Callithrix jacchus: one gene and its partner. The protein of the gene in region 2 interacts with the protein of the main gene of each other region in a pairwise test. Links are inferred from orthologs where the notes say so. Each region holds a gene or a part of one and is shown on either strand. Other genes may lie near its edges. The genes, in order: GPSM1 and CCDC158.

Region 1 (4,255 bases), on a different chromosome or scaffold from region 2:
GGGTGCCCACTACCAAGGCCAGCTTCCAAGCCAGCCCCCCAGCTTCTACCACCCCAGCCACCTGAGAGCTGTGTCCCTCAGCCCTAGCCCCGCTAACAGAATTGCCACCTGCCCCTCCCCATGGCCATCACAGACATGCTGGCCCCTGTGCAGATGCTGGAGACCCTGCTCACAGCTGGCTCTATATACCCCATCCCCCCAGCCAGACACCCCTGGGGAAAACCACACTGGCTCCCTTTCAATGGCCGGGGGAGGGGAGAGAGTGAGGGGCAAGGACTGGGTTGGGAGCATGGTGGGAGGTGGAATCCCTGGAGTGGGAAGGTGAAGGTCACCAGGCTGTAGGAAGCGCCTGGGGTCAGGCTTGTCAGGAATTCCTAGGGCCCATGGCCTTCAGGGATGGTGCCCAGGAGGGGGACAGAGGAGGGAGGAGGGACGAAGTGAGGTGGGGTACCATGGTCATGTGGCCAGAGGAATTGGGGGGCCAACCCACACCTGAGGATGTCCCATCTGGGAACTGGTGAGGGCTGCTTGAAGGGCGCCTCTAACAGGGTCACCCCAGGTGGGTTGCTCTACTGCCCCCTCCCCGTCCCAGCCCCGGGGAGCACTCAGCTGGCCTTAATGCTGCTGGGAGGCCAGGAGAGGACCACACAAGGCATCCCCACTTTCCGGGACCTTCTCAGCCTCTGGCTTGTCCTCACCAGGCCCCTTCACCTCAAAGCCCTGCTCTGGGCCAGGGGGGACCCCGTGCAAATGGGCCAGAGTTCTCAGCACTAACCGTTCCAACTGAGCCAGCACCCAGGGCCCTTCCGCTGAGCCCATCTGGGGACTTGGTGGATTCACAGGCACGTTCATGGCCTCTCAGTGTGTCTTTCAGGCACAGTTCCCTATTTAAAAACTGGAACTCCCCTCTCCAGGAAGGAATGTCAGCGTGAAAGGGGGTGGACGGGGCAGAGGAGAACTTGGGCCAACCTGGAGCCACATCCACACTGAGGGACCGGGGTACGGCCCCATGAGGAGCATCCACACAGATGCCAACCACCTCCAGGGCACACCACACCCACCGCCCACCACCCACACCAGCAGGGCACAGGGGGTTCAGGAGACCCGGGACTTTTTGGCTCTCCAGCCCCAGTGTGACAGCAAAGGGCCCTGCGGTTTGGCCCACAGCCTCCACTGGCCCAGCACGCCTCTAGGCACTCAGGCCTGCCCCTCTGAAGCCAGCTCTGACCAGGAACTGCCTGCCCAAACCTGGCTTTGGCCGAGTAATGGTGTGTAGACTCCCCTGGGGCTTCCCCAGGTCTGGGCCTGAGTCAGCCCTGGAGGTCAGCTGGACTCCCCGTTGAGGGGACGTGAGGCTGGGCCTGGGGTCTGAGTGGCCTCTCAGCACACTGCTCCTGCCCAGGGCTGGCTCCTGGTGTGTCCCCGAGGGACCCCAGGCTTCCAGATGGATCCTGGAGAATGCCCGACCCTTGGTCAGTTGTGCAGGGCTCACCCAAGGCTAAGGTCCTGGACACGAGACTCTCACAGCTCCACACACACACTTTCACAGTAACACACTCACACTCACGCACTCCAGCCAGGGCTGCCATCAACCCCTCACAGCACAGCCGCCTGAGCACATGTGGCCCCACACAGCCAATTCCAAGGAGGGAACCCTTGAGAATCCCTTAGGGCAGGCCCCTGGCAGCAGCTGCCAGCAAAACACTCTCACACCCCTCCCCTGCATGGGGCCCAGGAGCCAGGCTAGGGGACTCAGCGCTCCATCCAGGACCACACAATGGGGCCGTGTCTGGGACCAGAGCACAGAGCAGACCAGAGGCAGCAAGGCCTCCGTCCACCGCCGCCAGAGCCACATTTTGAGTGCCCCAGGCAGGGGCTTGCTGCTTGGCTGGGGCCACAGAATCCTTGGGGGCCAGGCTAGGCCCCCCCAGGGGTCAGCATCTGGGACCCCTATCAGACAGGTCTCCAGATTTAGGGATGTCCAGAGGACAATGGTGTCCCTCCCACTTTGGAGAGCCAGGCCTACCTCTGAGGGCAGCCACCCATTTGTGAGCCCCTGTCTGGACCTCCGGCCGTCTGGCTCTGCCTGAGGCTTGGCACCACCCAGCCTTACTTGAAGCATGAGGCACCTGTCCTGGCTGGGCCCAGGGCACCCTCAGGGAACAGGGGGAGTCACCAGGCAAGCATGCCACCTAGGGCAGGGCCATCCTGTCATCCCCACAAGGCGTGGGGCACAGAGCCCAGCCACTGTATCACACGGGAATGTGCCCGGAGGACAGGTGCCTTTTGCGGCAGGTACACACCCACCTGGCTGGCTCCGACTGGGATCATGGAGGGATGTTGAGGGGCAGAACCCCATTCACAACAGCCAGTCTCTTTGGCCATAATGTCCCTGAGTGCCCCGGACATGGCAGGGCCAGTCTTGGGGGTCAGTTCCCCACAGTGTCCCTGCCAGCTGCTGGGAGAGTGAGGCTGGAGAAGCTGCCCGCACCCCCCCCAACATCCGCCCCTGTCCCCTTGGCTTGGGGGAAAGAGGGCTGCAGGGGACGCCCACGCGGGCCACCCGCCGGACTGGGCTCGGCCTGGAGGGAGGGGCCGTCCCCGGCCACGCTGCGCGCCCGCGGGAGCCGCCTTTGTTCCCGGTTCCCGGCCGCCCCGGCCCCAGCCCCGGCCCCAGCCCGGCCCCGGCCCATCCTACCTGGAGTAGAGGCGCCTGGCGGCGGGGCCCTGGAGCTCGTCGGCCGCGGACGGGGTCGGGCCCGCCATGGGTCGGGCGCGCGGGAGCCGGGGGCCCCCCTGCGCCGTGGCCGTCCTCCCTCTGCCCGCCCTGCTGTCCGCCCCGCTGTCCGCCTGTCGGTCCGCGCCTGGTTCGCCTGTCCTCCCGGGGGAGGCGCCGAGGAAGTGATGTGCGCGGGGCGCCGCCGCCCCTCCCGCCGCCGTGGCCGTGATGTCAGCGCCGCCCGCGCGGGGAGGGGGCGCGGACCCGGCGGCCGCCGCCGAGAACCTCCCTCTGCGGGGGGGGCGGGGCAGACGTTGGGGGAGGGGCGCCGCCGGCCGGCAGTGCCCCGGGAAGGGGTGGGGGGTGCGGCCCCCAGCCCCCTAGGGTCGAGTGCAGGGGAGAGGGCTGGGGCCTGGCCTTGCTACGGGTCCCCTGGGGGCTCTGGGCGCCCGCGGGGGTCCCTGGGTCACAGTGCAGCCCGGCTGGCCTCAGACTCATTCCACCCAAGGCTGCCTGGTGAGCCCGGGCCTGGCCAGCGGTGGAAAGGAGCTGCTGAGCCTCCTTGCCTTCCTTGGTGGGCGCCCCCCTTTTCCCGGGGGTCCTCCCTCCTCTTCTGCGCCTCGCTGCACCCCTCCTCCAAACTCTGCCTCTGGCCATGGGGTGCCTGCCCTGGGGATGCTGCCTGCCTGCCTTAGAGAAACCGGGGCGCTGATGACAAATACAGGCTCTGCTTGGCCGTGGATGGTGGTAAGCCCTCCTACCGCTGAGACCCTGGGTGGCCACGTCCCCCTCCCAGGTGTCTCTGGAATGGGGATGAAGCCGGCCCATTCCTTCCTCCCGGCTGTGGAGGCTTAGGGAGGATGCAGGTATCACAGCAGGCTGTGGCTACCCTGGGTCCCGGGACCCCAGCCCCCTACCACCGCCTTCTCCTCTGAATTCCTGGAGCCCTGGGGGCTGTGCTGTGCTGTGGCTTCCTCTCCACCCACCCTCAGCTCCTGATGGCTTGAGGGGTCCTCCTCAGACAGCCAGGCCCGCAGCCGGCCTCACCCAGTTGTGTCCACTCCCCACCCCATCCTGGGCCTTCTCGGGGTGTTGGGGCCTTTTCAGGGGTCCAGGCCCCTGAAAGGCAGCTGTGATCCCAGGTGTGACTGGGACCAGTCCAGGAGCAGGAAATGGGCTGCACTCCTCCTCTGGGAGCCCCTCCCTGAGAGAGCTGCTCTAAGGTCAGGAAAGTGCCACCCTGGCCAGACCCTCAGCAAACACCACCCACGGGACAGTGGCTTCAGGCAGGCAAGGAAAATAAACACGAGGTTAAAACGGGGTCTGTTGGTCCCAGGCTGGTTTGTTTTTCCTGTGTAAGGGAGGCAGTGGGAATGAGAACCATCTGTGCCCTGGAGCGCAACTCGAGGTGCTTCTGGCTGCTGGGCCCACGTGCCCTCCCCCAAAGACCACAGAAGCCAGGCAGGGCCTTGCTCCCTCCCAGCTTGGGCTGAGGCTGCTGGCTGGCAGGGGCAGTGGGGCTGGCTGCTGGCAGAG
Region 2 (4,389 bases):
TCCAGTATCTGCCTTGTGGTCATACCACCTTCTCTCCAGCCTGTATCAAATCTGCTTCTCTCTCTCTTAGGACCTTTGCGTTTGCATTTAAGGCCCACCTAGATAATTAACGATAATCTCTCCATTTCAAGTTACTTAATTACATATGCAAAGGCACTTTTCCCTTATAAGGTAACATTCCCAGGTTTCAGGGATTAGATCTGATATATTTGAGTGGCCATTATTCAGCCTACCATATAATTTGGGGCCGTCTAGCTGGGGGACAGGTGGATCACAAGAGGCTCTGTTTAATAAATGATGGAGGTCTAAAGTGGCTCTGACTTTCTAGATAACACTGAGTCCTCATTGTAAATGCACAACAACAGTAAGGGCTTTGAATACATACAAATAAATTGCTGTCTTCAATTTATTTTGGAAAATATATTAACTACATGGCATGGAAACCATTTCACACATGACACAAATAAGATAACCGTATTAAGATTAAAAACAATAAGCACAGTACAGAGATAAGGAGGACCACACCTCTCTCACCACTCCTCCACACCTCTCTCACCACGCCTCCACCCCTACCCAATGACCTTCCGCACAGAGAAACAGTCCTACCTAGCATGTCTCTGGGATATGTGGAAGCCCTGGTCCTTTTGTCTCCCTTAGCCTGCTGCTGAGAGAATCAGCAAGAACTGGTCGACAGTCAAAAAATCTGAGCAACAGCCACCCTCACTTCTACTTTCCCCTGACCTTGGAGTTCAACATGAGGCACAAACAAAACCTGGAGCAGCCTGAGTGGGCCTGGGGCAGAGTGTTGTGGAAAAAGATGGAGACTTTTCAGAACTCAATTGGGCTGCTAATGGGGGAAAGCTCTGACCCCCACATGTGGTTTAAAGACAGGGCTCAAGCTCAAAGGGCCCTTGCGCCAGCGTTTAACACCATTCCGTCTTGTAGGCAAGGCTGTCTGTCCCCTTTACCACCAAGTCTTCCCCATCTCCTCCCGCTGTTTGCACTGCGCGGTACACACGGAGTCAAAAGTCACATTGGGGCCGGTTACTTGGTGATTCTCTTCCCCACAAATCAAATCACTTTGCATAGGCCTCTGTGTTCTTCGAGGTCCAGGTTCCAGCGCCACAGTCCCCAGGGGTCTGGCGATCCCGGAAAACAACAGCAGTTCATTCCAGTAAAGAAACAATTTATTGGGCATCTACCATGTGCAAAACAAACACGAAGCACTGGAAGATTCCAGAAATGAACACGAGTCCCTCCCGGTCCTCATAAGAACCCCACCCCAACCACACCATCCCGGTCTCGGGCCGCGCCCCGCTTGTACCTGCTACTAACACCTAATCCTAAGACACCCGCCGCATCTCCGCGGGGCGCCGGCCGGCACGGCGGCCCAACCTGCGTCGACCGGGCGGCGGGACGCGGCGGCTCCCCACTCTCCGCCCCTAGGCCCCGCGGCAGCGGCAGCGGCAGCGGCGGCTCCTCCTCCTCCTCCTCCTCCTCGGCGGCGGCGGCGGCGCCGGAAGCTGCCCGCGCCCCTCCCCCGCGCCCGTCGCTCCTCGCGGCGGTGGCGCTCTGGGACCGTTGGGACTCTCGGCAAGGCCTCGTGGTGGGGGGTAAGAGAGAAGGGGGTTGTGCTCGGCCGCTGCCCAGTAGGGACCACTCGCACGCGCCTGCGACTCCGCCGGGGCAACGGAGCTCCAGAGTCCCCATCACCGCCCCGGCGCCCTCTGGGAGCAGGGTGAACCCAGCCCGGGGTCAAATCCTAGAGCCCTGTCCAAGAAACTACCCTGGCTTCGGGCCTGCACTCGGCGCCCTCTGCCGCTCCTCCTGCTGCCTCCTAACTGGTCTCTAGCCCTACTCTTGCCCCCACCTGAGTGCCCTGGGCCACTCTCGCAGCTGTCCCCACCGTGGTTTCCCAGATAACCCACTGACCCGCACCAGTCCCGCACTCTTAACTAAGAGTCAAGCCCAATCTGGCGTTGCCCGTCGGGCCTCCTCCTCTGACACCCCCACCCCACCCCCATTCCCACTCCTGGCATTCCCATTTGACCATTTCAAGTTAACAGAATTCACATTTTACAGCTCTGTTTTCTCTGTCCCCGAATGTTTTTCAAGTTCATACGTGTTCTCGGCATAGCTGACACTTCTGCCTCTGGAGACTTGTTCCCGCCGCTGTGTTTCAGTTACTCTCTGTCGTTATCTCTAATAGAGAATTTATCAATTTCTGCAAGCACACCCAGCGTCTCTGTGCTGCCCAAATTATCGATCAAATGGAAGGCATCCAGAAAGGCCAGGGTCTGATAGATGCAGGCTGAGGCATTTAATTCTAGCAATCACATTGTGCACACCTATGACAAAATAACTTATACATAAATTGACTAGAAATACTAGTCCTGGGCCGGGTGTGGTGGCTCACGCCTGTAATCCCAGCACCTTGGGAGGCCGAGGCGGGTGGATCACGATGTTAAGAGATCAAGACCATCCTGGTCAACATGGTGAAACCCCGTCTCTACTAAAAAAAATACAAAAAATTAGGCCAGGCGGGGTGGCTCAAGCCTGTAATCCCAGCACTTTGGGAGGCTGAGGTGGGTGGATCACTAGGTCCAGAAATCGAGACCATCCTGGTCAACAAGGCGAAACCCCATCTCTATTAAAAATACAAAAATTAGTTGGGCATGGTGGCCGCACCTGTAGTCCCAGCTACTTGGGAGGCTGAGGCAGGAGAATTGCTTGAACCCAGGAGGCAGACGTTGCGGTGAGCCGAGATCGTGCCGTTGCACTCCAGTCTGGGTAACAACAGCAAAACTCCGTCTCAAAAAAAAAAAAAAAAAAAAAAAAACTTAGCTGGACATGGTGGCGCGTGCCTGTAGTCCCAGCTACTCAGGAGGCTGAGGGAGGAGAATTGCCAGAACCCAGGAGGCGGAGGTTGCGGTGAGCCGAGATCGTGCCGTTGCACTCCAGTCTGGGTAACAACAGCAAAACTCCGTCTCAAAAAAAAAAAAAAAAAAAAAAAAACTTAGCTGGACATGGTGGCGCGTGCCTGTAGTCCCAGCTACTCAGGAGGCTGAGGGAGGAGAATTGCCAGAACCCAGGAGGCGGAGGTTGCAGTGAGATGAGATCGCGCCATTGCACTCCAGCCTGGGTAACAAGAGCGAAACTCCGTCTCAAAGAAAAAAAAAAGAAAAGAAAAAGAAATATTAGTCCTACATTACATAATGTAATGACAAATTTTAATAAAAATAGATTAAATGCCATTAAAGATTGTTTATCATGTCTTTGTAATCCATTCATTGGCTCAGAGAGATCTAAGATTACCTATAGACTCAAACATTAAACAGGAAATGAAACCATAAGAATTACATAGAAAGGTAAATAAATTAAGTTTTGTGGTTAGAGAAAAAGCAATTTCTAATTGTGTATTTTTTTCTTTTTCTATCAAAACATGAGCGTTCCAATGACCTAAAAATATTTTCAATACCTAATATATGGTTACCATTGGTGTCTCATTTTGTGCTTGTACCCTGGACACACACAAAAAGGGTTTTGTCTTTTTAAAGTCTTTAATTAAAAGATGTGTTTGAAATTATCTGCACCCACAGATATGTACGAAAAGTTTGTGCCCCGATTTTACTATAAAGTCCATTGCATTTTGAAGTGTCCTGCAGTTTTACCTTACAACATTTTAAAAATGTTGTTTTAAAAACAACTTCTTAGCTTTTTAAATCAAGAATTAAAAGATCAAGAAAGGGATCCAAAATCCTTTTCTATTCACTAATTCCACCCATATTTACAGGGGACCTGCCACATGCTACTCGTAGGTTTTGAAAATAAATCAGGGAACAATAAGTCCCTACCCTTGTAGTGCTTACATTCTTGTAGAGGAAGATGAGCAATGCATGGATAGAGTTCAAATATGCCAGATGGGGATAAGTGTTGTGGAGACAGAGCTGGGAGGTTAGGGAGTGTGGGGTTGACGTTTCATAGTGTAGTCTTGAGAAGGCCTCATTGATAAACTGACATTCAAAGGAGACTTGTAGGGCAGGGAGGAGGGATCTGTGTGGATATTGTGAGACAGAGACTTTCAGGCATTTGCTTGGTGTGTTTGAAAATCAACCCAGAGGCCAGTGAGGACTGAGCAGAGTGGCTGAACAAGCAGAGGTTGGGTGTTGTAGTTATTTAGGGCCCAAGTCACCAAGAGCTCTTTAGTTAAGAGTCAACACCTAGGTCCAAGGTTGTTGTGTCTTCCTCAACTGGTTCCTACTCTGCACTAGACCCTGTGCTGGGCACTGAGGAGATACAAAGAAGCTCTAGTTTCTGCCCTCAAGGAACCAGTGTCCCTTCTAATGCCAATCCAAATGGTGGCTGGCCTTTGTGAGGAGGCAATTAAGA

Evidence for each region.
Region 1: the proteins of CCDC158 (region 2) and GPSM1 interact in a two-hybrid assay, tested with the Homo sapiens proteins (2 studies listed by BioGRID and IntAct). The link is inferred for Callithrix jacchus from reciprocal best matches to the Homo sapiens genes CCDC158 and GPSM1.

What each region holds. Positions count from the first base shown.
Region 1 is NC_133502.1:184,802,547-184,806,801, reverse strand, and holds the start of GPSM1 (G-protein-signaling modulator 1), read right to left. Parts: upstream 2,876-4,255; 5' UTR 2,767-2,875; coding exon 2,699-2,766; intron 1-2,698. UniProt on the Homo sapiens protein: Guanine nucleotide dissociation inhibitor (GDI) which functions as a receptor-independent activator of heterotrimeric G-protein signaling.
Region 2 is NC_133504.1:121,635,527-121,639,915, reverse strand, and holds the start of CCDC158 (coiled-coil domain-containing protein 158), read right to left. Parts: upstream 2,815-4,389; 5' UTR 2,689-2,814; intron 2,205-2,688; exon of another isoform or gene 2,074-2,204; intron 1,614-2,073; exon of another isoform or gene 1,552-1,613; intron 1,493-1,551; exon of another isoform or gene 1,325-1,492; intron 1-1,324.